4 linked regions of the Notamacropus eugenii genome follow. The protein of the gene in region 4 purifies or fractionates together with the protein of the main gene of each other region. This does not show direct contact. Links are inferred from orthologs where the notes say so. Each region holds a gene or a part of one and is shown on either strand. Other genes may lie near its edges. The genes, in order: UPF3B, SMG7, SLBP and UPF1.

The links.
Region 1: the proteins of UPF1 (region 4) and UPF3B purify together in Homo sapiens (co-immunoprecipitation; 16 studies listed by BioGRID and IntAct, with this or other methods). This does not show direct contact. The link is inferred for Notamacropus eugenii from reciprocal best matches to the Homo sapiens genes UPF1 and UPF3B.
Region 2: the proteins of UPF1 (region 4) and SMG7 purify together in Homo sapiens (affinity purification with western blotting; 7 studies listed by BioGRID and IntAct, with this or other methods). This does not show direct contact. The link is inferred for Notamacropus eugenii from reciprocal best matches to the Homo sapiens genes UPF1 and SMG7.
Region 3: the proteins of UPF1 (region 4) and SLBP purify together in Homo sapiens (affinity purification with western blotting; 4 studies listed by BioGRID and IntAct, with this or other methods). This does not show direct contact. The link is inferred for Notamacropus eugenii from reciprocal best matches to the Homo sapiens genes UPF1 and SLBP.

The regions. Positions count from the first base shown.
Region 1 is NC_092879.1:43,539,073-43,546,537, reverse strand, and holds the start of UPF3B (regulator of nonsense transcripts 3B), read left to right. Parts: upstream 1-4,449; 5' UTR 4,450-4,532; coding exon 4,533-4,928; intron 4,929-6,833; coding exon 6,834-6,940; intron 6,941-7,120; coding exon 7,121-7,227; intron 7,228-7,465. UniProt on the Homo sapiens protein: Involved in nonsense-mediated decay (NMD) of mRNAs containing premature stop codons by associating with the nuclear exon junction complex (EJC) and serving as link between the EJC core and NMD machinery.
Region 2 is NC_092873.1:461,640,757-461,647,758, forward strand, and holds the start of SMG7 (nonsense-mediated mRNA decay factor SMG7), read right to left. Parts: upstream 3,007-7,002; 5' UTR 184-3,006; coding exon of another isoform or gene 155-183; intron 1-154. UniProt on the Homo sapiens protein: Plays a role in nonsense-mediated mRNA decay. Recruits UPF1 to cytoplasmic mRNA decay bodies.
Region 3 is NC_092877.1:50,014,958-50,022,258, reverse strand, and holds the start of SLBP (histone RNA hairpin-binding protein), read left to right. Parts: upstream 1-4,295; 5' UTR 4,296-4,452; coding exon 4,453-4,526; intron 4,527-5,748; coding exon 5,749-5,916; intron 5,917-7,301. UniProt on the Homo sapiens protein: RNA-binding protein involved in the histone pre-mRNA processing.
Region 4 is NC_092875.1:66,552,546-66,560,142, forward strand, and holds the start of UPF1 (regulator of nonsense transcripts 1), read right to left. Parts: upstream 3,004-7,597; 5' UTR 2,833-3,003; coding exon 2,599-2,832; intron 1-2,598. UniProt on the Homo sapiens protein: RNA-dependent helicase required for nonsense-mediated decay (NMD) of aberrant mRNAs containing premature stop codons and modulates the expression level of normal mRNAs.

The sequences.
Region 1 (7,465 bases), on a different chromosome or scaffold from region 4:
AAGACTTGGAATGCTTGGTACCCATTCTGGCTAAACTGGAGTAGTGTGGGAGAGGCTTGGAGTGCCTGGAGCCCATGAGGTACCATACTAAACTGGAATGGGGCATGGGAAGGGGGAGAAATAGGTATAGGGAGGAGGGAAGGCTTGGATTGCTTGGTACCCATTCTTCCTAAAGTGGGATAGGGCAGGGGAGGCTTGGATTGCCTGGTGTCCATGAGGTACCAGACTAAGCTGGAATGGGGGGGGGGGGTAGGCATAGGGAGGAGGGAAGGCTTGGATTGCTTGGTCCCCATTCTGGCTAAACTGGGGTAGTGTGAGGGGGGCTTGGATTGCCTGGTGCCCATGAGGTACCAGACTAAGCTGGAATGGGGGGGGATAGTGAGGAGGGAAGGCTTGGATTGCTTGGTACCCATTCTGCCTAAAGTGGGATAGGGCAGGGGAGGCTTGGATTGCCTGGTGTCCATGAGGTACCAGACTAAGCTGGAATGGGGAGGGGGGGTAGGTATAGGGAGGAGGGAAGGCTTGGATTGCTTGGTCCCCATTCTGGCTAAACTGGGGTAGTGTGAGGGGGGCTTGGATTGCCTGGTGCCCATGAGGTACCAGACTAAGCTGGAATGGGGGGGGATAGTGAGGAGGGAAGGCTTGAATTGCTTGGTACCCATTCTGGCTAAACTGGAATAGAGGGAGAGGCTTGGGTTGCATGGTGTCCATGAGATACCAGACTGAACTGGAATGGGGGGGGGCGGATAGGGAGGAGGGAAAGCTTGGATTGTTTGGTACCCATTCTGGCTAAACCGGGGTAGTGTGGGGGAGGCTTGGAGTGCCTGGAGCCCATGAGGTACCATACTAAACTGGAATGGGGCGTGGGAGGGGGGAGAAATAGGTATAGGGAGGAGGGAAGGCTTGGATTGCTTGGTACCCATTCTGCCTAAAGTGGGATAGGGCAGGGGAGGCTTGGATTGCCTGGTGCCCATGAGGTACCAGACTAAGCTGGAATGGGGAGGGGGGGTAGGCATAGGGAGGAGGGAAGGCTTGGATTGCTTGGTACCCATTCTGGCTAAACTGGAATAGAGGGAGAGGCTTGGGTTGCGTGGTGTCCATGAGATACCAGACTGAACTGGAATGGGGGGAGCGGATAGGGAAGAGGGAAAGCTTGGATTATTTGGTACCCATTCTGGCTAAACCAGGGTAGTGTGGGGGAGGCTTGGATTGCCTGGTGCCCATAAAGATTTCTAGCTAAACTGGGGTGGAAATGGAGAATGGGGAGGCTTAAATTGCCTGGTATCCATGGGTTACCAAGCCAACCTGGGAGAGAGTAGTGGGGGAGGTTTGAATCCAGGGTTCAAAGTAATCTGCTACTTGACTAATGTGCCAGAAGGATCTGGGGTACACTTTGAAGGAGCTCTTAAGGGTGTTGTAATAAACGAATAAAACATTTAAGAACTACTATGTACAAAGCACTAAGGACATATAGAAAAGACAGTCAGTGGAGGAGATAACACATGAAAGTTTTCAGCTGCAAGTCCAAAGATAAAGTCCCATGGTCCTTAGGGTGCAGCAGCAATGCAGATGGTGATTAATAAAGGCTTTTGTCCTGTTTCTTGGATGAGGACCTCCATACTGGGACACCTCTTTAGGACCATAGATCTAGAGTTGAAAGGGACTTTAGAGGCCACTTACTCCAACCCTCTCCTTTTAAAGAGGAGGAAACTGAGGTACAGGGATATTAAATGACTTGCCCACCCTCATACAAGTATTATCTATCACTGGCAATATTTTAACTTCTATCCATTCTATCTATATATTCATTCTTTAGAAGTAGAGTGGTTATAGAAGTGTGCTGCTTTCTTTAATGAAGGAATGAATGAATAAATGTTAAGTACCTGCTAAGTGCTAAAGGTAAAATACTAAACCTAGGCAGTCTGCCCTCTAAGGAGTGGTCTATTGAACTATTCATTGTTCTCTTGACACCTTTGCTTCAAAAATACATGAGACTCTTCTTTCACTATCAGCAGTAAATATAAAGCATGCCCTATTGTCCCTAGTGTGAGGACCTCTTGAAAGACCTGAAGGATTCATTTAGGGAGACAGGTTTGGGGAATTTATCTTGTGAACATCCCTTCTGAATTGTGAACTCCTAGAATGAAAGGTCTTCTGTTTTCTTAGTAACCATGATGAACATTGCCTGACTGATTAGCATTTAATCTGGTTATATTAGGTGACTGGTATTCATTCCCATTGCTGGATTGGTGCAGATCGTTACAGTGCACAGAACTGCTGGACTTTTCATTATAAATGTACTTCTGTAGCCAACTGTCTACAGTGACTTCTTTTGGAAATGACATTTTATGTGGAGGTGATGAAACACTGTCAGGTTATAAATTCATCTAAGTACTATTAATAGACTAGAATCAACTTTTTTCTATACAAATTACTGCCACATCTCTTTCTCTGGCCCTAACCTTAGTGCCAGTCATATATCTGCCTATTGTCTAGTAAACATTTTTACATAAATTAATTCTTCAGCAGCATCAAACTGAAGGTTTCATTCATCTTCCCAAATTAATCTTTTGACCTACTGAGCAGAGCTATTGCAAGAAATGAGTCAATAATCAACAAAATAAGATACCAACATATCTTGAAGTCCTGAAGGCAATACATTTACACTTTTTTACTTACAACATATCTTTATGAAGCCTCAAGATCATGAATTTATACTTTTTACTTCAAGTTGTATTTTAAAATAGTGATGAGGGATCTGCCAGATTGGCTGAAGCTGTCCTGGAGCCTAATTTCATCTGACTCACAGGCAAGTACTAACATCTGTCTCTATTTGTAGATACTTCCTACCTGTGTGGCCCTGAACAAGTCACTTAACCTGCCTCAGTTTCCTCCTCAGTAAAATGGAGATAATATCTACCTCTCAGAGTTGTTGTGAAAGTAAATTTTAAAGCACTTTGGTAGCTCTTATCATTTTTAGAGGGGAGGGAACGGATACTCAGGGCAAACATCTATCAAAATGTTGAAAGCAGAACTAAAATCTAAGTCTTCTAGCCCCATTAAAAAATTTTTTTTTTGCTCAATAGTTTTACAAACTATTTCTTTTCCCAAATTTATTAATTTATTTGTTTTCAGTTTTCAACATTCACTTCCATAAGTTTCGAATTTTCTTCCCCTCTCCAAGATGGTATGCAATCTATTATAGCTCTACACATACATTCCCATTAAACACATTTTCACATTAGTCATGTTGCATAGAAGAATTACAGCGAATGGGAGAAACCATGAGAAAGACAAAACATAACAGGAGAAAATAGTCTGCTTCATTCTGCATTTCGACTCCATAGTTCTTTCTCTGGATGTGAATGGCATTTTGCATCGTGAGTCCTTTGGAAATGCTTTAGGTCCTTGCATCGCAGAGAAGGGCTAAGTTCATCAAAGTCAGTCTTCTCTCACAGCCCCATATTTACTTAGTACTACAACTAAGTCAGCAATTTGGGAATTTGCATTTATAGTGTTATTCAATTAAATATTGAATGAAACAATGATCCAGGATTACCAGTCATTTTGGTTAGCCAGGAAGCTTTGCAAGCCGAGTGGAAACTGGTTTTAAGTCAACAAGTGATTGTTTAGTGTTCACTACGTGCCAGGCGCTGTGCTAAGCTGGGCAGCTAGGTAAGTGCACTGCATAGAGCTGGACTGGGAAAGCAATGGCAAACCCCTGCAGTAGGTTTACCAAGAATCCCCCAAATGGCGTCACGAAGAGTCGGAAACGACTGAACAACACTAACTAGACGCTAGATACAAGGACACGAGAAGGGAACGGTTGAAACAGCCAAGGACCTCAAGGAGGTTGTTTTTTATCCGGGAGAGACGCATTAATGTAACAAGAAAAGAAATATTGAGGAAATTGGAAGTGAGGATGGGGTTGGAATGTATTAAAGACCTGAGGGGCAGTCAGGGCAAAGATAGGAGATGGGAGATTAGAATGTAGTTTGAGTGACAGCGAGTGGAACGACTTAGGGACATGATCCGCAGAAGGATCGAGGGTAAGCAACAGGGCCATCTCCATAACCTAGGCTTTCCTATCAGTTTAAGGCGCTAAAGAGTGAAACCGAACTCCCTCAGTGGAGTCCCTAGGCTCCAGAAGCAACTTGCAGTTGGCATGCTGAGTTTTGTAGTTCTCAAGGCGATCAAAGTGAAATTGATTCTGGCAGAAAGGGGGCGGGGCTGACCAGTGACGGCTAAGAACAGCCCCGGGCGGCGCCTTGAGCCTAGCTGGGAAATGGGCCGCGAGCGGCCTCGGGTGGGTTCCGATGGAAATGCTAGGGTGTTGCCAGTCCCTTACCGACCTGGCGGGGGGGGGTGGGGGGTGGGGTGACATAGGCGACCTAGCATCTCGCGCGATCGTAGTTCACTGCGCCACGATTGCGGGTTGGACCTAGAGGATTTAATGGGAGGAGCTGCAAATTCGGGGTGGGGCGGGCTTATGGTGATGACATCCTGACGCTACCTTGGGTATAGGCTGGGCCATGAAAGAGGATAAGGAGAAAGCGAGGCCCAAGGAGAAGCGGCCGCCCTCGTTTTCAGTCTCGTCTGCAGCAGCGACAGCAGCAGCAGCAGCAGAGACAGCGGCGGCGGCGGTCACCACAGCAGCAGTCACCGCAGCGGCGGCAGCGGTAACTGCAGCCTCTGTCCCAGCCCCGGCCCCGGCCCCGGCCCCAGCCCCAGCCCCAGCCCCAGCCTCAGCCTCAGCCTCAGCCTCGGCCCCAGCCCCAGCTCCAACCCCGGCCCCAGCCCCATCCCCAGCTCCAGCCCCAGCTCCAGCGGCAGCTAGCGCAAGCTTCAGCGGCGGCCCGGTGGACAGCGCCAAGACCCAGGAGAGAAAGGCCGAGCGATTCAAAGAGAAGAAGGAGATGCTGAGCAAGGTGCGGGTGGCACGTACGGGTTCCTTCTCTGAATCAGCTGCCCGGCACGAGGCCGCGCCTGCCCCTTCCTTTCCCTTCCCCCCCTCCCCCCCGTCCCAGGACCCCCGAAAGGCTCGCGCTGCCAAAGATCCAAAACCGGACACGAATTGTGTCGGGGGAGAAGGCAGCTGGGGGAGGGGAGGCAATGAAAGAGTTAATGGGGCAGCAGAGAGCGGAAGGAGGGAAAGGGGGGGAAAGGGGGGAAGGGGGATGGGAGACTGCGACTGCAGGAGAGGCAAGCTTGGGGTGGTGCCCATTAGGGTGGAGAGAGCCCAGAGGGCCAGAAGCAGTGGGAAGGGGGGAGGGGGAACAGCGGGGTGGGGGAGGGAGGAGAGGGGAGCAGGTAGGGTGGGGGAAGGGTTCGGAGACGGGAGCTGGGAGAGGGGCGGGGATGGTGGAGGAAGGGACGGAAATGGCAGAAAGGGGATGAGGATCGACGAGGGCGGGGAACGCAAAGGGGAGCAGTGCAAGGGAGTAGGGAAGGGGGGATCAATGAGGGTGGAGAGGGGAGCAGGTAAGGTGGGGGGAGGGCAGAGGGGGAAAAGCTGAGGACTTGGAGGGCGGGGCAGAGAGGGGAGGGGGAAAAGCAAGGGATTGAGGAGAGAAGGAATGGAGGAAGGGAGGGGGAAAGGGAGAGTGGAGATGGGGAGGACCCTTCCCACCTTACTCTCTCCCTCCCTTCCTGGAAATACCTAATCTCACCCACTGAGGATGAGCCCCCACCTTGGCTAGCGACCCCCCTCCTCTCGAACGAAGCCCTCCCCTTCGGAGAAATGCAGTTCACATGCGCAGAGCTGCCTTTGGCTTGCAGGGTGGAGATTGGAGATGGTGGAGAGGGCTTGGGTGGTTTTGCCGATCAATCTGGTCTTGTGAGAACTGCAGAGAACTTGGGTTTGGGGAGTGGATTCTTATTGTAAGTTTTAGTGGACACACCCGAAAGCCCGGGGTAGCTACTGGCTGCTTCCGTATGATATTTTAAAAGAAAAATAAATCGCAGACCTTGTGCTGGGCTCCGGCTGACTAGCTGTTGCCTATGGCAGGTCAAAATCTGTTTTTCTCTTCTGTAAAACGAAGTCACTTAGTCCAGTCTCCTCGTTTGCAGTCAAGGAAACTGAGACCCAAAGGGGGGAAGAGACTTGGTCAAGGTCGTGCAAGTTGAAAGTGATGGAACTGGGCCAAATTCAGTGACCTTTCCACTTTACCTACCATGAAGCCTTCCACTACATACTGGACTAGGAATTAGGAGAACTAGATTTAATCTTTAATTACTAGTTGTGTCCATAGGCCAATCACTTTACCCCCTCTGAATTTCAATCTGTTGTTCACTTACATCATAAAGGAGGCAGACCCAGGTTAACAATCCCTTTCCAACCCTAATGATCCATGTCTGAGTAAGCCTCTGAGTTACGTCACCTGTAAAGTGGGCATAATGGTGTTTGAATTCCCCTTCCTCCCAAGGTTGTTGTGAGACACAAATAATATGAAGATATAAAATGTCTTTTCTTGTCATCATAAAATGCTATCTAAAAATATAAGCAATTGCTATTTAAAATAAGCCTTACCAATAAGTAAGGATCAGTCTGCAATAGTCTAAGTGAATGCATATTTTTAAAATAAGCTTGAACTTTGAGAATTAGTACTGGACAGGAGGAAAATTCCTGTCCTTGGCACGTAATCTTAGCATGTGAAACTTGGTTAAAGTAACCTTGCTGGAAGTTACAGAGTTGCTGTTTTTGAACCAGCAAGAAACAAAGTGAAAGATGCACCAAGAAGTGAAATCATTGGGCTGAGCAAAAACCAGGACTGACCTAATCATCAGGAGATGGGGAATTAATGCAGTTCATTCTTTTTCCTTCTTGTGTCAAGGTGATCATTCGGAGGTTGCCTCCTACTTTGACCAAGGAACAGCTTGAAGAACACCTTCAACCTCTGCCTGAACATGATTATTTTGAGTTCTTTGCAAATGATTCTAGGTAAAAAAAAAAAAACCAAAACAATTCTTTTGGTTGTTTTTTAAGGCTTCATCAGTGCTTGTCTTGCAAATGCTCCTCGTTATATGTTGGGGTCTAATCTCCCTATAGAACTAATGTGCATATATGCAACTCAGCAAGGGGCCTTCAAGCACATTTACATTTTGTTCTTTCTTTCTGCAGTTTGTATCCTCATATGTTTTCTAGAGCATACATCAACTTTAAAAACCAGGAGGACATTGTTTTGTTCAGGGATCGCTTTGATGGTTACGTTTTCGTTGATCATAAAGGTGAGTCCTGGCAAAGAGGGCCTTTGATATCTACTTGCCTTAGAAACATGGTGTATCCTGTGTACACACCACGCTCCCAGATCTTCAAAGCTCTTGTGTGTGATTAGCACGAATTTTGATTCAGGCTCTAACCTTTAGGCATCCTTGCAAATAAGTATAATGCCTTGATATCAAAGGCAGTACAAGTGGGTGAAATTTGGTGCTGGATTTGGATTGAGGAAGATTTGGGTTTACATTC
Region 2 (7,002 bases), on a different chromosome or scaffold from region 4:
GCCCCAGGTCGGGCCCCCGAGCCGCCGCAGCCGCCACCTTCCCCAGGGGCCCCCACCCCTGGGGGGGCCGGCCGGGGCTCCCCCAGCCCCGCACAGGAACTCCCCATCCCCCCCAGCAGCTCCCTCCGGGCCAGTGCCCGGCCCCGGCTCTCACCGGAGATACTGCGCGCTCTGCAGGCTCATCCTCCGCCGCCGCGTCTCCCCGCGAAGCGTCCGTGGGTCTCTCAGGCTCCTCGGAGCGGCCCCGCGGTACCGCTGGTGCTGGCGGCGGCCGCCATCTTCCTCTCCTCCGGCTCCTCCTCGCCCGGCGGGAGGGGGGTGGTGAGTAAGGCGGTGAGGGGGGGGTGGGGGAGGGAGCGGGTGAAGCTGCTCTCGCTGCCGCTCCGGCCCGTGGGGCGCAGGGACACTACGACCCAGGAGGGGGAGGGGGGAGGGTCCTCGGAAGGGGGCGGGAGGACTGGGGAAGAGGAAGGAAATCGGAGGGAGCCGCTCTCGCGAGACTTCGGCCGCCCCGGTCCCACCGCCTGATTTCCGCCCTTCTGGAGAGACTTCGGGAGCGTCCGGGCGTGTACTGCAGTTGCGGCTTCTCAGTGGCCTGCTAGTGGTGCTTGATCACTTTGGGTTTTGTCTTCCTCCCGCTTCCAGCGGGAAGGGGCAACCCCAGCCGCTCCGGGAACATCGAACCCGAAACAAACTGGAGTTACACTCAAAACCTTCCCCCGTCTTTCTCTTCACCGCAGCCCAAACTGGCTTCCTACTTCCACTCCCACACTCTTCCCCACCGGAAACGCCTCCTCTTCTTCCTACAGTTCCGTCGGCCGGTCCCCCGACGCTATTCTTCCCCTCGCGCGCTAGGGAGTGACGCGAGGGACCCCTCCGCCTCCTCTCCCCGGCCCCTCCCCCTGCACGCGGAGGGACTGTTAGAGGGGGTGGGGAGCCCGGCAGGAAAGGAAACGAAACCAATGGGATTGGAGGAGCGGCTGCCATGGCGACGCGCAGCTGCGGTGGTATTGCCATGGTAACCAGTGTGTGAGGCGAGGGGAGAGGGGGACCCTTCCCGAGGCGAACAGGTTCCGGGGAAGACGCCCGCGGCCGCCCTCTGCTTTCCCCGAGTTCTTCCGCCTTGTCTGCAGGGTCGGTCCCTCGGGAATCCCCGTGCCTGATCTCCCCAAGTCCTTTCCGCGGCCGGGGCGACCCCCTAGTCCTCTAAGCGCCCGCAGGCAGGGGCGGGGCGAGGCGGCGGCAGCTCCGGGGAAGACCGAGGGCTTTCCCGGAGCCGGCCTGCGAGAGGCGGGATCCCTGCATGGCTGCGGCTTGCGAGGCGTTGGGGGTGGGGAGGAGGGAGCCCCCCCCCTGGCACGTGGAGCTGCCCCCGGCCCCTCGGGTCCGGGAAATCTTAGTGACAGTAGATCTTTATAAAAAGCGGGGCCTTTAAGAGTGGCGGAGGGTCGGTCGTGGGCCGCCCCGCGCGGGGGCAGCGATCAAGGTCAAAGTCATCGCTGGGGGCGCCCGCGTGTCCTCCGGCTCTCGAGGGTCGGCCCGGATTGGAGGAGAAGTCACAATGTATCGAAGCGCGGCGCCAAAAAAGTATCCAGTCGGCCTTGGGATCGAGGCCCCGGAGCAGAAGGTCTGGGGAAGGGATGTCGGGGTTTTTGTTTTAAGTCATCTCGCCCTCGGTACTGGGTCCTGAAAAGCCGCCGAAAGAAGGACCCAAGTCGGTGGTACTATGCTGGAGGGGAAAAGTAGCAAGAGGAGCAAGGAATCGCTGGATTATTGATTTTCCATCTTGCCTAGACTCTGCATGTGCTTTTAGGGGACTCATACTTACTTGCCCTTCTCGGGAGGAAACTACCGGGACACTAATCATCTTTGTTGTTCTGTCATTGTCCTACTAGCTGAAGGAACGTTTCCAAGATCCTTCACTTCCTGGTCCACTAAAAGAAAATGTCCCATCTGTTTAAAGTCCAAACATGCAAGTAATTTGGACTAGCAAAAAAAATCCAAGTACAATTTTGAAAGAAGAATTCGCGACGCAATTTATGAAATCAATTTAACTAGGTCCTAGTACTGATAGAAATGTATTGTCGGGGCATTTCCTGGGACTACCACGCCCGCGATGACCTAAGTTTTGCTTGTCATCTGAGACGATTTTCAGCAGTACAGTGCCCCCTGCCACCACACTTGGGCACTGACTCACGCTGACTCAACAGGGAAGAGAGCCATCTAGTGAGGCAGCTTTCGCCTGGTGCATGCACTGTGAGAGAATCAATACGTTTCTATAAAGTAACTTTATTTCATCCCTGTATTTTACTATTAATAATTGTATTGTAAAAAATATTTTGTAAATCATGAAGTACAAAATGAATTCTGTGAGTACTAAAGAGTTACCCTGGCAAATTGCTTTTAAATATTTTGTTTTTGTTTTTACTATAACAAAGAATAAAGAAAAGGCAGGGAAAAATTCAGTGAAACTAACCTAACACATCAAGTCTAACATTAGATACAGTTTCTCATACCAACAGGCTGCTCCTTCTGCAAAAGAAGAGAGGGGAAATGTCCTCTCAGATCTCTTTGGGGTCAACTTGTCATTGTAATTTCATAACATAAAGTTGCATTTATTTTTCATTTACATTAGTGTTCTGTTCACTTTAAATCAGTTCTTGTCTTTCATACTCATTGTTTCTGACAGTGCAGGAGGGAAGCTAGCAAGGTGGTATGGAGCCTGGCAGGAAAGGAAGCAAACTGAATTTAGGATGGGAGTTCAACTACTACTTCAGACACTAGCTCTGTGATTCAGGGTAAGTTTACTCTCAACTCAGCCTCCGTTTCCTCCTTTGTTACATAAGAGAGTTGAACTCACTAATATCCAAGGTAACTTCTGTCTCTAAATCAATGATTCTAATAATCCATTACATTTATACACCACAGTTAGTTTTAGCCATTTCCCAATTGACAGACATATACTTTGTTTCCAGTTCTTTGCTAATAAAAAAATCTACAATGCACAAATTATCTCTTGTCTTCATCCTTATTTTTTAATCCTGTTTCCTACTGTGTATTCCATCAGTAAATATGTTGAACTTATATAAGCACCTTTCATCAAGAGAGATGTTTTGTTTTTCCCTTCAATCACAAATTCCCACCAGCCTTCATTATATGCAACTGGTTCTAGACACTAAACTGGAGCCACCAGATAACAAAAAGAAGAGGCCCTTCAATTTCCTTTAGGCCTTCCATGATTTTGTTGAGTCCTTGAATATGTGCATATTTTCCGGAGGAGAGCATTGAGAATGTATTTTAGGTTTCTTAATGCAAAAATTGTTCACTTTTTAATGCTTTGTATCAAGTTATACATAATAGTTGGGCTCTCTACCACTTAAAATTTCAGAATCACGAAGCATTTGGAACTCCACCACTTTGCATTTCCCCTCAAAAGAAAAAAAAAAGTGCTGTGCATGGATTATTTCCACAATCCTCCCAAGAAACCTCCTCACAAACCCTAATCACCATTCCCATTAGAGTCAGAAGGTAGGCTTCTGTGCCCACAGTTGTGACTACGTAAACCATTATAATGTTAGGACATTAGAAATAAGATTTTAAAGGTCTTGTACATTTTGGAATCCTTCACTATTGTGACTATTATTAAAATCCACAAATCTTCGCCAAGCCAAGTAAATAGTGTACACACTTTTTAGCCACCCACCAAACTTCCTGAAGTTCTTGCTTTTATCTCTCTCATCAAACTGACCTGTATGAAATTTTACGAAGTAATAATTCATTACAATATTTGATCTACATAGATTTAATGTTTACAAAGCTCAAGTGCATTTCAGTGCTTAATTATTTTTAATCTGGATGATGACAATGATTATGGAATTATGCATGCCTGTCGCTGAAACCACAGAGTCACAGAATCCATCCTTTCAACTCAGCTGGCGAGTGTGGCCTGTTTCAAGTAGGTGTTTATGCATTCTTTTCCTGGGAAGTAACTTAGACTATCTTTGGGAGCCTGGATGGTGGTGGGCTGGTACTACAGGCCTGTTTGTTAAGAAATTAAGATTTTAAGTCATCAAAGAACCCCAGAGGGAAAGGATGAAACAAGCTGTACATTCTCAGATTTTCAAAGATGTCTGTGAGCTAGCATCATTTCTATGCAAATATCAACCCCATTTAATGCTTGCTCGGTGTGACTCTTGTCCATAACCTCCTGTAAATTTACCAGGAGGTCCACCTAGTAGGAGGCTTTCATCAATTTCTCTTGACATTTTAAAGGTGCCAGTGGAGCACTCTGGATGTTTTACATGTCATTCCTCATCACTATGTGATCTTCTCTTCCTACTACACAGTTCTTTGATGAAGTCTTTTACTCCTTCTTTGAAATTCCTACTTAGTTATGTTCTGAAGCTTGTACTACATGCCTTTCCATCAACGTCTGTACAGTAGTCATTTTTATTCTTCAGAAACAGTTGTGTTCCATGCTTTGCTGCTGTATATCGATACCAGTAGTGGTATTCAGAACAAGGGCCTTTGCTTTCATGGGAAGCTTGGGATCAGTAAAGGAGCTTTGTGGTTTCTTGGAGGCAATACAGCCAGCCGCCATCCTCCTACTCAATTTTGTGCCTGACTCAAAGTCATCTGTACAATCCATCTGTACTGTCTGTCCCAAATATTCATACTGGTGGACAGACTCTATTGGTTGTCCATCCAAATTCATGTTGAAATCTGGACAATAGACATTCTTCATTTTCTTGGTCTTTCCTGTGCAGACCAAACAAACTTTGGGTGATTACAGCCCCATTGCAGAAGGCTCTACAATGTTTGGGGACTTGATACAGTCAGCACAATGACAATCACAGAAAAGGTCATCTGGTAGACTTTTACACCCAAGGAGAATCAGTATTATCTTTCCTGTCCTATGTGTGAAACTCAGAAGAGATTAAATGATTCAGCTGGGTGAATAAATGATTCATTCTGGTTCAAATAGCAACCCAATGACAAAACAATTTTGAACTGGGAGGATCTTGCTCTCCAGGTTACTGAACTAGGTTAGAGTCAACAATTGTTCTGAGGTGCTCTGCTAAATGTTTGTTCACTGATTCCTAAGAAACATTTGTCTGTCTCAAACACCCACTCCCACTACCCATCCCCAGAATATGCAATTCTAATTGGGGGAGAGGAAAGGCATTTTAGGTCCAAATCTGCTTTACCAGACTATGATCCTGCCAGGAGTGGGGAACTTGCAGCCTCAAGGCCACATGTGGCCTTCTAGATCCTCAAGTGCAGCCATTTAACTGAATCCAAACTTCACAGAACAAATCTCCTTAATAAAACAATTTGTTCTGTAAAACTTGGACTCAGTCAAAAGTCTGCACCTGAGGACTTAGAAGGTTCCCCACCCCTGATCTAGCCCATGTCCATTTTATCCAGAAGCACATTTTATAAGGAGATTTCCTCAAATGTTTGCTGGAATCTGCACATACAATCTCCACAGTTTCACTCCCCCAAAAAGGATGTCAAAGCAAGCTTTACCAGTCTTACTACAATCCCTTTTTAATATTTTGATATAACTAAGATCAAACTTTGGGTGCTAATCAGTTAACTTTGTTAACAACTAATTGCTTAGCGATATTGGGACACAGCCAAGCTCCTAGAAAGAAGTAAAGGTTATTGATTGAGCAGGTAGAAGACCACTAGGGCAAACTTTGTTTAATTTACAGGTTTGCCTAGGGTAAGCTCTGGTGTCCACACCTTTATCTGCCAACTCAGCCAAGGGGATTTAGATCCGTAAACCAGAGACCTAGATGGAAAAATGGCAAAATCATATTCATTTTAGAGTCGGTAAAAGTACCAGCCATCATCCAGTCCAACCAGTAATAAAAAGGAATTCCCGCCATAATCTACCTGATGAGTGAGCTAGATCTTCAATGAGGGGCAACCATCCTAATGTAGCCAATTGGATTACATCTTTAGATAGGTCTTGTTAGAAACTTTTTTCCTTCTGAAATCTACCTTTCTCCAATTTTCTCCCACTGTTCCTGATTCTGCCCTTGAGAGCCAAATAGAAGAATCAGCCAATCCTTCTTCCTCATGGCAGTTCTTTGAATACTTGAAGACATCTATAATGTTTCTACTAGTCTTCTTTTCTCCAGGCTCAACATCCTCTCCATTCCTTCAATTCTCATATGACATGAACCCAAGGACTTTCATGTTTTTGGATAAACTCTCCAGTTTATCAGTGTCCGACAATCTGTAGGACCATAACTGAGCAAATGCCCCAGATGTAGTGTGACCAGGAGCAAAGAGTAGGATACCATCATATCTTTTCCCTGGGAGCTAGGCCTCTCTTAATGAAACCCAAGACCCTATTAGCATTTTCTTTGACTACCCCAATTACATTGCTGAATTATATTGAATTTTCAGTTCATCACAACTCCCAGATCTTTTTCAGACAGAAAAGTCCCATCCTATTAATCAAAAAGCATTTAGTAATTGCTTTCTATGTGCTAGGTGGTATTCTAAGTATTAGGCCTACAAAGAAAGTAAAAATGCAGTCCCTACCCTCACATGAAAATAACTGTGTATATAACATGATCTAGCTAGCTAGCTATCTACAACATAAATTAAAGGTAATCTCATAAGGAAGGTTCTAGTGGGGGGAGAGGAGTGGGTTAAAGGTATATTTTTTAAGCTGATTCTTTACAACCCAAGTATAAGATTTTACATTTATCCTTACTGAATATCTTCCTTATAGATTCAGCCTAATGAATACTCTAGCCTGTCAGTGTATTTTCAAATTCTGTCAATTACTAGTCACTCTGCATTTATAACAAATTGCTATACTGAATTACCCATAACACATAAATTACTTTGGCCTAGAATGCAACCAAGCTAAAAGTATTTTTCTCTCCCCTACTTTCTGATTTTTGGAAGGAAGGTGAACTATTATTATATGACCCCTGGGAATGTGCTTAGCATTTGGGATAATATGAATGGTTAAAATCT
Region 3 (7,301 bases), on a different chromosome or scaffold from region 4:
TGCCAGAACTTCTCCTCGGTTATCATAACCTTAGAGAACTCGAGTTTACCTCCAGACCATAGGGAAGCCCAGGAGGAGACTGTCAGTGTATCACAAAACAATGGCCAGCAAAACTGGGGATTTGTTTATGCATATTTGTTATAAAGGTTTCTTTTTCTTTTCCCTCTGCTGGGGATTGGGGAATGTTGTGGGAGAAAATAAATGCTTGGGTTTTTTTTTTAATTCATTTTAAAAAGAACACATGAATGTAAAAATTAAATAACAGCAAAAAGAAACAAACCAATAAGCAAAGGTGAACATTACTAAATATTTGAGAATACAACTTCTGCAGAAAATAGATCTTTTTTTAAAATGAAGACAAAGTTGAAACAACCAACCGAAGCAATCCGATCACAATAAATTTGATCCTACTAACAATGAATGCAATAAAGGTGTATACCTATACATAAGGATACACACATGCACACATGTCATATATTATAATATATATCATACACTAATATATACATATATGTATATGTATATTACACAAATGAAGTCAAATTTTAGTCAGGGGATTTCTCCATCACTTGCTCCCTCCTTCCCTATTTTCTCCCCCCTTTTCTTTTCCTTTACTTTTCCACCCCTACACTCTTTTCAACTTCCTTTTGTGTGTTTTCTTCCCCTCCTTGAGGGCAGAGACTGTCTACTTTTTTTCCTGTTTGTTTGCCTGCTTAGAACAGTACCAAGCACATAGTAGGCACTTCATAAATGTTTGTTGACTGACTGATCGACCTGACAGGCAGGGTGATCTACCACTGTTCACAGAAGCCTATGACACAGAGGTCCGAATTTGTGAAGAGAGCCAAGGCAAAGTTAAGCGCTCTTCTTGGGGTTTTTTTGTGTGTTTGCCCTTCATTCTCAAAGAGGATCATGACATCAAGGTGATGACATGACTTGCAGTTGACTGATTTGAGGGAGGGAGGGCTGTGCAAGGTCACCAACCTCACTTTCTTCTCCTGAGCCATCTGGGTGCAGTGGCCTGAAATTCCTCAGGATGGCTGGAGATGGCCCAGGATGCAATGTGAGACCCTGGCCCTTTCTGGCTAAGTCTTATCACATTCTCACTTTGAGTGAGATACACCCATTCAATGAATAGGCTTCTTTAAGTAGTTACTCAAGGGATGACCTCTTTAATAAAAAAAAAAAAAATCAAACTGGGTGGAGAAGACCCTCAGGGTTCCTGGAAGTTAAGAGGACCATAATATTTGTTATATTTCACAATGTCATTCATTTGAGCAAACAGTATAAGTTGGTTTCAAAGAAAACTCACAATTTTTAAAAATTGAATTAACTTAGGAGCGAGAATGGGTAATCCTCTGAAATGGTCAACAATGACATTTAAGTTTAATTCCATTAAATATTTCATCATCTGTAATTTTTTTAAAAAGTGAAATAATATCCTTCCTTAATGGATACAAGAGGAAATCCAATGGAGCAGCTGAACTACTACAATTCAAGTGGATTAAAGACAGTTTAAATACCCAGGACACATGCAAAGAAGAGAAAATCTGACACTTCTGATGAGCAGCCTTTTTCGAAAGCCTTGTCTGTAAGATGCAAAGAAACATTTGCCTCTTAAACGGTTGCTTACAGAATGGTTAGATATAAAAGTATTCCCTCATTACAAAGGGAAAATGTTGGTGTTGCCCATGGTGGGAGGTGAATCATATGGCTTCCTCATGTCTCCTGAAACTTGAATATCTGATGAATAATTTTTGAAAAAACTTAGCGCTCTAACTAAATCAATGCAAGGTCTTTCCTCAAATTTATACTCTGATCTAAAATGGTTAAGTGACTAAATTTATGAAGAAGTGAAACCTCTGGTTATTAAGTTGGCAAAATGACATTTTTGATATGTTTCTCATGTTAGGAACTACATACCTCACACATAAAATAGAAGGAAGTAAAGCTATGTTTGCTCGCCATTTGACTCTATTCTCATTTTTTAAAATTTTAAAATAATATTGCATATTTCCCAATTACACGTAGAGAGAATGTTTAGCATCCCTTTGAGGTTTCACATTTTCTCCTGTTCTTTCCTCTCTCCTCCCCCTTCTGTAACACAGTAAACAATCTGACACAGGGTATACGTGCGCAATGGTCATTTTATTTTAAAGATGTAGACACTTCCGAATGTGAAGGCATAAGGATCTCATCCGCCATGAACAAACACGATACCTTTGCTCTGACTTCACCAGAACGAGCACGGCTAATCGATATGTCGAAACAAACATTTAGATTTAGACTGTTTGGGGTTTTGGCTCCAGCTGGATAAAGATCTTTCCGTTCCGTCAGACAAAGCCGCCACTCAGGCTGATTGGTAGGCAACGTGGGCTCCTACTGCGGCTGCGGGAAAGACAAACGCTCCGCTTTGAAAGGCCTGACAACGGAATCCCCAGCAGCGCGGCCCGCGAGGAGGCTTGGCGCGGAACGAGGCCTCCCGCCGAGACGCTGTGGCGGCCAGCATCTTCGTGCGTTACGGGCGCTACCTGTCTGCGGGTGAATAAATGACTGTCCAGTTATCTGTGCTTTAGATGTGCGTGCGGTGAAACCGCGATCACCTCCTCACCTCAACAAAAGACAAATAAAACCATTCACCTGAGACGATTTTGTGAAAGCGCGAACATCGTTGTACAAGAGAGTACTCAGTGTCAGCCAAAGCCCCTGGTGGTGGCGCGGCGCACGCGCACGGCAGAGCGCCTGCAGCGCATGCGCGCGCAGCTGTGCGCTGTTGTCTTCCTCATCCTCGGAGGTTCTAGAAGACTGCGGTTACTGGGGGGTTTGGGGGGGTGCTCGCACTTCTCCTTGTCCTCTGTGCCCATCACAGTGACGGGCAGATGACAGGCTGAGTGGGCTGTTGACCCGGGGTGTATAAAGTCAGCTCTGGCCCCACGGCCCGCTTTCACACCAGCTTGGGCGGTGCAGAGCGGCCGGCTTCGCGTGCCCCGGTCACAGGCGAGGCCCATGCACGTGCCCGGCCACCTCCGGCCAACGGGGCTGGCACTGGCCGTCCCTGGGAGAGGCTTCGGGGCAAGAGGGTGGGCACCACCGGGCACCACGGCCCACCGGCCGGGGAGGGGTCCCAGCTCCGGCCCCTCCAGGAAGCCTCCGCTCTTTGGGCGGCTGGTGGCCCTGCTGACTCAGGGAGCGGGGAGGCCAAGCAGCAGCCGCTGCTCGTTCGGCGCCCAGGGGGCATTGTGCCCTTATTAAGGGCTTACTGTGTGCAACACACAGACAGACGCCGGCCCGACCTCGAAGAGCTCGCTCACCTTCAAAGGCTGAGGCCAAGGTTTCAGCGGCACGCCGGAAGGAAAGGGCCCCGCCTTATCACAGCAGGGGGTGATGGCTTCTTTAATGGTTTTGGACCCTTGGACGCTGCCCTGGGCTGGAAGCACCAATCCCAGTGTCTGGCACACAGTAGGTACTTAATAGATGTTGATTGGTCATTGATTGATTGTGGATTGATCTAGTGGTCAAGATGTGTGTGTGTGGGGGGGTGCTTCCTGTCCGAGCTAGGCCAGGGGCCCGAAGGCTCGGGGCACCTGGATTGACTGAGTGACCTTGGACAAGTCATCTCTCTCGGCACGAGTTTCTCCATGGGTTAAACGAGACTGGACTGGACGGTCTGTAAGCTATGATCTGGACCTCTCTAAGCGGGATACAGTCAGGAGGTCACTGGGCTTGGAATGGAACGGAGCTGAAGTGAATTGGGTTCTCTCCATCTCTCCTCCCGGCCCAGAGCTTCCAAAGATCGGTCTTTTTCTGCGTCCCCGCCCTGAGATGACGGAATTGATTCGGCCCAATCAGCCATGAGCATGAGCCCTCATTTCCCCATTTCCCCGCCCCCTCCTCCTCCCCGCCTTAATCTTCGCTCTCGGCTTCAGAATTTCCCGCCAACACCCCTCCCCAGCCCGCGCAGAAGGAGCCAATGAGAGCCTGCGGCGCGCTGATCTGCCGCCCGGACTTCTTCTGGGTCGAACTAATTCGGAATTAGGGGGAGATTTTGCTTGCGCCTTTCCCAAACCCACCTGTGGGGGCTCGTTTATCCTCCTATACATCTGCGTGCCCTTTTTCCTATTACGTTTTTGCCCCGACGTTAATTGGAAATTCCCTCGTCCTTTTTACCGGATCGAAACTTAGTGCCCTCTTTTCCAGACTCCCCGCCTCCTCCTGACCACGCTTCGATGGTTCGTCCCAGGCTCGCGAGAGGCGGTGGAGGGGGTGGGGGAGGGGTGGGGCAGAAGGCTTATAAAAAGCCGTTGGAGGAAGTCGCCACTCGCGCGCGAAATCAGTCTGCGCCGGTGCAGCGGCTTTGGAGCAGCTCCTCTGCTCGACGTTAAGGAAGGGAACGTCCAGACGGGACTTCTACTCTCGCCAGAGCTCGTCCCCCACCCAGCCGCACACCTGATCATGGATTGCCGGCAGCCGAGTCCTCGCAGTGCCGGGACGAGCCCAGGGCATGGCTGCTGGGGCGGCGACAGCGGGTAAGTCGGGCGACGACGGGCGGACGCCTTCGCCGTCTAGTCTGGGCTAGCGGCGGGCCCGGGCCTTAGTGCGCCTGCGCGGCGGCCCCGGCTCCACCTTCTTGCTCCCCGGGATGCGGGTGGCGGGAAAAGACGCCTTCACGCCGGGAAGGATGCGTGTTAGGAAGGGCCTGGGGGGGGGGGGGGGGGAGCTTGGGATGAGGAATTTGGCCATCGATGTCTGAGTGGGAGCTTCCCGAGGCCCTCTTTGTAGCCCACGTTCCCGAGGGGCCCGCCGGGGCCGGCCTTGGTGAAGAAGGAACCGAGGCGCGCAGGGGGGGAGGGGCGGGCCCCGGGACCCCAACCTCCTTAAAATCATCTTATCCTGTTTCAAAATTGCCGGTACTGAGCCATTGAGATGTGGGGGGGAGGGGTACTCTGAGTGTTGCGTACGAGTGTCGGGGAGTGTCGTGTTCTCTGTAATACACCCGCTTCTCCCCCAAAAAAGGATTTTATTTAGAGAACCTGGGCTTTCTTACTAGCGAAGTCACTTTTCCAGGTCCAAATTAGAATTTCTTTAATTTGTTAAATCAGATTAATTTGGCAGAACTGGAATTGGAATCCTGTGCTCCTGAAAATCAATTTTACATCGTTTCAGTCATTTTTAAAATGAATAATTTGGATTAATTGGCATAGCTGGAATTAGAATCCTGTGTGCTTGAAAATGTGCCTTCCATTGCGCCAGTCTGCTGCTCTCATTTGCACCACCCCCATAAAGGGGGGAGGGTTTTTGTAATCTGCCATTTTACAAATGAAAAAATGTGGGAGAAATAATGTCCCCGAGGAAGCAGCTGAACGTTCTTGCTGCTTCACCAACTGGATGTTGGCCCTGAGGTTGAAAGGGGGGGGGGGGGTGAACACGCAAACCAAGAGGTGCGCTTCTATCCAAAGGATGCCCTTCCATGTGTGCCCCAAATTAAGTTATTAGGCCAAAAACCCAACCTCATGGAAATTTTAGGGCTGAAAGGGATACTACTATAGTCTACATTGATGCTTTATCTTAGATGAGGAAACAAACTGAAACCCAGAGCCCTGAATTGACTAATCGAAAGTCACAGGGAGCCAAGTTTAGAACCTGGTTCTTCTGTTTCCTAGGCTAGTACTTTTACTTTTATCTAATCTCCAGAGCACCTCCTAATTTAGAAGAGATCAGCTAGTAAGTCTAACTTTTTCTCTTTCCTAGCACACTTTCTCCATCCCCATCCCGGTGGTCTCTTGGACGCAAAAGACGATTGGATGGAAGGCACAGAAAACCAGAAAATGTTGAGTCATCTCTGTTTGTTGAAGATGAGTCCAAATCTAGACATGCAGAAGAAAAGGAATGTCGAAATTCAGACAACAGGCTTGAAAGGTGCGAGAAACATACTTTGCCATGGGGGTCTGTTTTCTTTGTGCAAGTTGTGACTGGCAGTCATGAGGGTTTTGTGAAAATTATGTAGTCAGATCAAATTATTTATTATTTGATCCCATTTGGGAGAAATGAGACCCAAAATGTGATAGCTGAAAAGAGGAGGTATCTATCTAGGCCATGGGAAAATTTGAAGGGAAACGTCATACTTCTATTTTTACTAATTGGTCTTCATTTTATGAAAAAGTTGTGTGGTTTATTTAGTTGGCATATTCGAAACAAACCTTATTATTGGTTTCCATTTCCTAGAGTATTTGCTTTCTACTTGGGGAAAAGGTAGTGCTTAATTTGGGAGATGTACTTGAACACATCTCAACCTTTATCCATGTTTGCATACTCTGACAAATATATGGAGAGTTAGGATTTAAACTTGGTTAGAAGTATATGATCCCAATTCATAGAAACCTGGAGAGGCTGGGTTGAATTTACCACTGTGGGAACACTAGTGAGACTGGACCCAGCAAGGGTCATTCTGACATGAACCCATTATAGAATCCATGTTCCCTGGTGCCCGTGTCATTCTTAAATATCATTGACCTAAAGAAGTAATACACTATATTATGTCATGTGTTTTTGTATCCAGTGGATCTGTAATATCATGGATGTGGGTGTTCCTGCCAACAGCAGCACTTACTGCATCACATCTCAATCTGCCCTTTCTGTGCAGCTTCTGTCCAGGTCTTTCCATAAGCTTAGTCTATATTAGGACCTTTTAGCATTTCCAAAAATATATTTTGGACAAATTTTTTTTAAAACCCTAAAATTCAAATTGTTGCAGGAAAATGTCTAGTCACTTAAATTAGGTGTGAAAAATTATCTTGCTATCTGTGGGTTATGCTTTAGTTGATTAAAAATTTTACTACCTAATGTAAGTTTTAACAAAAAGCATTTGGAAATTTAACAGTTAAGAAAATGGGTACAGAATTCTCCAGGTTTTAAAATGATTGAACTTTTTGTTCATATATTTGAGGCTAATTAATTTGTATTGCTAAACCCAGGATTGCCTATTAAGAGCATACTGTAGACAATGAGACCATTGATAAGATAAGTTGATAAAACTGTGGGATTTATGTTTGTGTCTGTGGTTTGGCTTTCGGTTAGCTTTTTAGAAGATGTGAACATTTGTTTCTCCAGGATTGAGTCTCAATATTTCGAGGAGACTGAATGCTGTTAGCCAGTTTGATAACAATAGCGAGCTTTTATTTGTGCTTTAAGATTTGCAACATACTTTGCAAATGTAATTCATTTCATTTGATCCTCAGAATTACCCTGGGAGATAGATGTTATCTCCATTTTACTGATGAGGAAACTGGGGCAGATTGAGATTG
Region 4 (7,597 bases):
AAGTTTGTCTTTAAAAAAAATAATAATAAAACCATATGATTAAAAACTAGACTGGAGGTCAGGAGAAATAAGTTAGATTTTTCTCGTCAGTCACTCACCCTCTCTGGGTGTTTCTCCATCTACAAAACCAGGGAGTTGGATTGGATCACCTAAAGATCATCTTCTAGTTCTAATATTTGATGATTCTAACAGGCAAAGTCAAAGGTAATGTAAAAAAAACCAAAACCCAGCACTTCAAATGATAAAGAATTTTACCCTCTTTTTATTATTCAAAAGTGTCAAAATCATAAAAATCACCCCCCTTTTAAAATCCTGAATCATTTCTCAAAAAAAAGCTCAATGGTTTCTAGTTTAGGATCTCCTTTCTTACAGTTGATTACATCACTAGCTCCGAAATTCAGGTAAGATAAATAGCTCCCAAGTGTTTTGAAGTACCTGGTGACATCAATTACTACAAAAGACATACTGATCCTGAATGCACCTTGGGGATAGATCTTTTCAAAACTGACCCTGCTTCTCCATATCCCTATCAATCAAGGTCCTCATCTCCTCTACAAAAAAACTAAATCTTCACCTTTTCTCCTTAAATAGGGATAGAAAATTGAAGGAGAGGTACCTTTGCATTGTATAAATGCAGAAGAAATTTCTGCTAACAATAACATCAAGTTTTACTTCGGTAGTCACCTTAATGACAAGTTCTGCTCACCTAAAATGAAATGTTAGTCTTTATGAAAATAACCATTATTTCAAAGGACAAACAACTACTACCAGCTGATGACAAACCAAACAGGAGCTTTCTGAGCTATCAAGCTATCAGCAACAAAACCTATAAACTGGACAACACTGCCACCACCCAAAGTTACTTTAGACATATTGGCTGTGAAGCACAGGTAAACTACTCATGTTACCCAAGAATACACTTCCATCAAGGTAGTTTCTACAAACTATCAGCTGCCATTTATAATCTAAACTACTGTGTTTCTTAACAAAAACCATGTGAATTGTAAAGCACTATATAAGTAGACAAAATGCCACCCAGCTCCTTCCTCTCCTCTCCTCTCTACAAAGAGCATCACGGCTAATTATAAATTAGATTTTCACTGAGTACAATCTGACATATTTGCTACATATTACATGTGAAAGTACCTACATATATGTGATTGTTTTGGTTTATTTGATATACAGACATGATGTTTTACAGAGCACTGATACTAGTGTTAGAAATTTCTACTATCCTTCTCTCTGGTTCCCAAGTTCTTTAGGCAAATCCTCCTTCAGTACCTGCAAAAAGGCAGAACATGTTTGCACACCTGTTCAAACCAGATGCTCCACCCACCAACTTGCCACCTTTAAAGAAATAATGTTGTAAAGCAGTATGATGTAACAAAAAGAGCCTTGAATTGAGAAAGATCTGGATCCAAAAGGTTCCACTATGCTCAATCCCTAAAGTACAATGAGCACATCACTTCATCTCTGGGAAGCTCAGGCCCCTTGTCAACCTCAAGAGAACTCAACTTTGGTTTAAAAGAAAAAAAAAGAAAAAGAGAAAAGCTTCCAGCTCTTACTCAAAATGTTGGAAATATTTATTTTTGTAGCCCTTTAAGGCTCACAAAGAGATTTCTTCACTAACATGCTACGTATGTAGGTCAAATATTAGTTTCATTTTACAGATAAGTAAACTGAGGCTCAAAGAGATTAATTCGCTTAGGGTCACACAGCTATTAGGAGTCAGGTAACGACCAAACAAAGACAGGACTGGGCCAATCAGATAAGAACAGATGGCTGTACTCAGGAAGAAAGAGATCCATATCCAGGTAGCAGGAAGCGTATCTGTTCTAAAGTATTTCATAAAAGTGAAAGTTACGATACCTGTTGCTTTCATAAAGGGTTAAAGTTTTCAACAAGGTAAAGCCAATAGGAAGAGAAAAACGACCTGCCACTAACATGTGTATTTGAACCTTGCTAAGACCCTGTATAAGAAATCACTTGTAATTAAAAGTAGGAAGTCCCACACACATTTAAAAAGACAACAGTACTTCTACGATGTGAGGGGGAAAAAAAAATTCCGATCTGAACACCAAGCTGTGTCCCCTGCACATCCCGGGCCTGGTAAAATTCAGTTTCCTGGAAAGAGAGAGTAACAGATACCTGGCTCAAAGCAAACCATCTTTGCCAGGTTCACATTTTCAAAGTGGAGCAAGAACAGGTGGGGAGCTGGGGGGCAGGAAGCCCCTTGCACCCCGACCCAGTCGGATTTTTCAGAAACCAAGGGAGCCCCCCTGGCCTCCGAGAGGAAGGAAATCTGTCAGCTGCACTTCCCCCGAAAAGGCTGCGGAGTCCTGGGATTGGTGCCCCCCCACCCCAAATGACGCCCCTTCTCTAAGGGCAGCCCCTCCCCCACAGCGAAAGTGTAGGAGGGGGAGGATCCGAACTCCCCAAAGGGCCAGATCTCCCCCGCAGGGGGTGGCGGCAGGCTCGGGCTCCACTTCCTACCTACCCCCGGGGCGAGTCACTTCCTCCTCGCCACCCGGCCCCCGAGGCGGGGAGGGGGCAGCCCCCCGAGCTCCGCCGGAGGGGCAGGGCCCCAGCCCTCCTCACCTGCGCGTCGAGCTGGCCCGCGGCTCCCCCGACGCCCGCGGCTCCCGGCCCTCCCGCGCCACCGCCTCCGCCGCCGCCGCCAGGCCCTCCGGGGGGCGTCTGGGTCTGGCTGGGGAGGGTGAAGTCGGTGAACTCGAACTCGGAGCCCTGGGTGTCGGCGCCCAGCAGCTCGGCCTCCTCAGTGTCCAGGAAGGTGAGGGTCTGCGAGCTGGGCCCGTACGCCTCCACGCTCATGGCGCCGCCGCCGCCCGGGGCCTGGCCTGCTGCCGCCGCCGCTCCGCCTCGCCTCGCCTCGCCGGCTCCGGCCTGGTCTCGCACTCGAGGGCCCGGCTCCGCCCGCGGCCTCGCGCCTACCTCGGAACCCGCGCGCCCAAGGCCTGGCCGCGCCCGCCGCCCGAACCGAACCGACCCGCCGCGAGAGCGCGCGCGCCGCGACCCCGACCAGGGCCTCGCCTCAAAGCCTCCCTCCCGAGCCTCCTCCTCTTCCTATATAATCTACACGCTAAACCAGGAACCGCCGCCGCCGCGCGCGTGCCCGACACTGCCCCCACCAACCCCCCGCTTAGGTCGGGACTCCGCTCGCTCCCTTCAGTCCCCGCCTCCCTCGGAGAGGACGCCGAGAGCGTGCTGACGAGGCACGCAGAGCGCACGAGGCGCGGAGGGCGGGAGAAGGAGGGAGGCGGAGCCAACGCGTGGGTGGGGCCCGCCCTCTGATCTCCCCACCCCCGCGGAGGGGGCGGGGGGAACCCGAGGGGCGGACGTTGGGCGTCCAACGGCCGCCCAGCACGTGACTCCTGTCGCTCTCCCTCTCCCTCCTCCCCTCCCTCAGTCCCAATCGGGGCCAGCGGGTCGTTGAACGTCTACGGCCTGCTGGGCTCGTGCGCCCCCTCTTGGGCGGCGGGATACCAGGGGGAGCTGCAGGGCTCGTCCCCCCGCGAAAGGGGATTCCCGCCCATCCGCCCCGGCGCGCCCTCGACACCGCCCTCCCGGCCCCGCCCTCCCGGAGCTCGCGACTCCAGCTCGGCCCCACGCCTAGGCGGTGGGGGCGGAGCCGGGCGGCCCTCCGCTTCCGTTTCTTTGTGATCCCCATTGTACAGATGAGGAAACTGAGACTCAGCCTAAAGTAGAGGGCCTGACCCTGCAGCCCGAGGCTGACCCTTGCCACCGCTTGCCTCGTGGGGGGATTGCCGGCAGAGCTGTTAAGACGTCTGCAGACCTTTGGGCGCGTGGGGCGGGGACGGGGCGGGGTCTGCCCGGCCCGCAAGCCCCCGGGCTCGGCTCTGCTCCGCGTGTCACACCCGGTGGTTGTGAAGCCCGAGGCTTTGTGACTCCCCGGCGCTATCCTGGCAGTGTCATCCGCAATCATGGGGCTCCTGGTGTGTGCGGGGCCTGCCCACACTTGAAGTCGGGATCGGACCCAGACCCTCAGAATCTCTGTGCTGGAAAAGAACCTCAGAGATGTGGCCAGTTTTTCCTTTCTTTCGTCTACCACGTACCGGTCAAATGGTCATCCAAACTTTGCCTGCAGGCTTCGGGGCAGGAAGGGGCCGGCCACCCCAGGACACAGCGGCCCTTGTCCCTTTGGGGCAGCCTTCTTCTGAGGAACTTTGGAAATGGACTTCAAGGCAGCCCCCCTCCTCTGCCCAGGAGCTCCTCGGATACTGGCACCCTCCAGGCTGAACACCGCTCGGATCCGTCCGTAGGAATTCTCCAGCCACCGTCGCTACCCTGCCAGCCCTCCTTCGGGTCTTTCCAGGTTGGCCATGCCTTTCCTGAAACGTGCCCCCACGCGTGGCAGATGGCGTGGGATCACAACCCAGGACAGTGAGATACTGGCCTCCTGGCCAGGGAGCTCCAAGTCTGGTGGACACCCACAAACTACAAGAGACTATATGACAGCCTTCTCCTAGGGAAGTGCATGGCCTCTCAAGAGTGATGTCCTGTACCTGAAAGGTCTTCAAGCCACCCCTGCCATAGGGGACATGACTTGGACTAGAGGGCTGCTTTCAACACCAAGGTTCCCTGCTTGTGGGTGATGGATGCATCAGAGATTATGCACATTAAGATTTGCCCAGGTTCTACTCTCCTCCTGCTATCTCCTCTCTCTTTTCCACAGAATCACAGGTTCTCAGAGCTGGAACAGACCTTTATAGCATTATGTTCAACCATACTTGAACAAGATTCCCCTCTGCACCATGGCCAACAAGCAACCTTTCAGCCTCTGCTAACCCATTCAACTTTGGAATGGCCCTAATGGTCAGGAAACTTTTTCTTACATCTAGCTGAAATCTGCCTCACAGCAACTTCCTCATTCATTCATTCATTCAACAAAGATTTGGGGGAGGTACCGACCAGTGCAAAACCCTGAAGTGGATGTTGGTGAGATAAATACTATAAAAATGACAGGAGACCCTGCCTCAAGGAGAATATTCTACTGGGTGGGGGGCAAAGGTAAGGATGTAACATGGACCCAAGAGAGGCAAAACAAAACCAAAAGAGATCCATCCAAAGTACTCTCAGAAAATCTGAGTGGGAAGGATTGAATGAGGAGAGGATTAAGGAAAGGTTACTTAAAAATGGTAGCACCTAAGGTCACCATTGAAGGAAGAGAAGAATTTAGAAAGACATAATAATAATAATTATAGGTAGCATTTATAGTACTTTAAAGTTTACAGAGCTTCACAAATATGAACTTATTTTATCCTTATTTATTTTATTATCTTGCACCTCTGGGAAGTAATTGCTATTATTATCTCCATTTTTACAGATGTGGAAACTGAGGCAAACAGGTTAAATGACTTGCCAAAGTTCCACAGCTGGTCAGTATCTGAGGCCAAATTTGACCTCAGAATTTCCTGATTCCATTTCAGTGCTCTCTCCGCTGCACTTCATACACAGAAGATAGCCAGGGAGAGATACTAGATTCTGCCATAATCTAGTTTAGCTATAACTGGAGAAGGAAATGGCAAACCGTTCCAGTATCTTTGCCAAGAAAACCCCATGGACAGTATGGTGCACAGTGTCACTAAGAATTGGAAGTGACTGACAGAACAACACTTTAGCTATTGCATTGAATTCATGAAGGGGAATGATGGGCCATAAGACTGGAAAAGTTAGCTGGAGCCAGATTATGAGGAGTTTAATATTTTCTTCTAGAGGCAATAGGGAGTCATGGCAGGATTTTGAGAAAGGGGAGTGACTAGAGGATTATTTTGGCAGCTGTGTAAAGTGTGGGATAGAGGCAAGCTAGACTAGAAGCAAGGAAATAAAATAAGAGACTTGGTTAGGACTTGCGTTAGAATGGTGTTGGCCATTTGATTAGATAGAAAGGAGCAGATTTGAGAGACGTAGTCAGTCCAATAAGCAAGCATTTATTTGCTTATTTATGGCAATCAGGGTTAAGTGACTTACCCAGGGTCACATAGTTAGCAAGTGTCTGAGGCCACATCCTATCTACTGCACCATCTGGCTGCCCCTAAACAAGTATTAAATGCATAATCTGTGTTAAGCATTAAGGAGGGAAAAAAAATGGAATTAATCACAATCCACCTCAATTAACTGCAATCCACCACCCTCAACGGTTCTGATTTGACTTGAGGTGACAATAAGAAAACTACCATGAATGTGCAGGATATATACTGGACAATGTGGATGGAAGGTGATCTCAGAGAGAAGGCACTAGCGGCTGGAGGGACAGGGAAAGAGGCCTCTTGGCAAAGGTAGGATTGGAACTGAGTTTTGAAGAAGACCAGGCAAACTGAGAGGCAGAGAGAGGCCAGGAGGGATGAGCAGCAAAGCAACTGTCTGGATGTTGGGTGGGGTCAGGAACAAAGAAGAACGCCCAAGAGGATGCGGAAGCTGCCAGTCTGGAGGATGGAGCTTGGGAACATCCTATGCCCCCAAAGGGGAGTTGAGCAGGCTTGGAGAAATAATAATATAATAGCTGACATGAAGCACTTCAATGTTTGCAAAGTATTGGGATGATAACTGATGTTTGTGTGGTTCTATAGGATTTACAGAGGGCACTCACTACAGATATCATGATAATAATAACAGATTTAAAGCTTTTTGCAATTTCCAAAGCACTTTCCATGTACCTTTTCCCATTTGCACCTCCCACCAGTCCTGTGGGGTAGACGGGGTTATTATCCCCATTTGAGAGATGAGGAAATGGAAGGTGAAAGAAAAAAGTGATTAGTTCATACTCACAAAGCTGGAAAATGTCAGAGGCAAGATTCAAACAGAAGTCCTCCATTCACCACTGGTATCAAACACAAAGAGAATTGGGGCCAGTAAACCCTATAGAAGGTTGACTTAGAAAACCACATATTAACATTATGTATGGTGCCACAGTGGATAGAGTGCTGGGCCTGCAGTCAGGAAGACTCATCTTCCTGAATTCAAATCTGGCCTCAGAAATTTACTAACTGTGTGACCCTGGGCAAATCACTTAACCCTGCTTGCCTCAGTTTCCTCATCTGCAAAATAAGGTAGAGAAGGAAATGGCAAAGCCATTGTAGTATCTCTACCAAGAAAACCCCAAATGGGGTCCGACATGACTGGAACAACATACCAACCACAAAATGGAATATTGTATTTTATCGTATTTTTATTTATTTTGTTAACTATTTCCCGAATACATTTGAACTGGAGTTCAACTGCATCAGGGCCTCATGATCGATACCTCTGGAGGACACTGTAGCATGGGAAGATGATTTCAGGTTTAAACAAGTTAATTTTGAGGTGTGGATGTAGTCATAATAATAATGGCTAATATTTAAAGTGCTTTAAGATTTACAAAACACTTTCCATGTATTATCTCATTTCAACCTCACAACAACCCTATGAAGTAGTAGTAGTAGTAGTAGTAGTAGTAGTAGTAGTTAGCCCCATTTTGTAGATGAGCAAACTGAGACAGAGTCTGAAGTAGTATTCAAATTCTGATTTTCCTGAGATGTTCACTGGACATTTGGCAATGACTTGAGCTCTAGAGATGTGA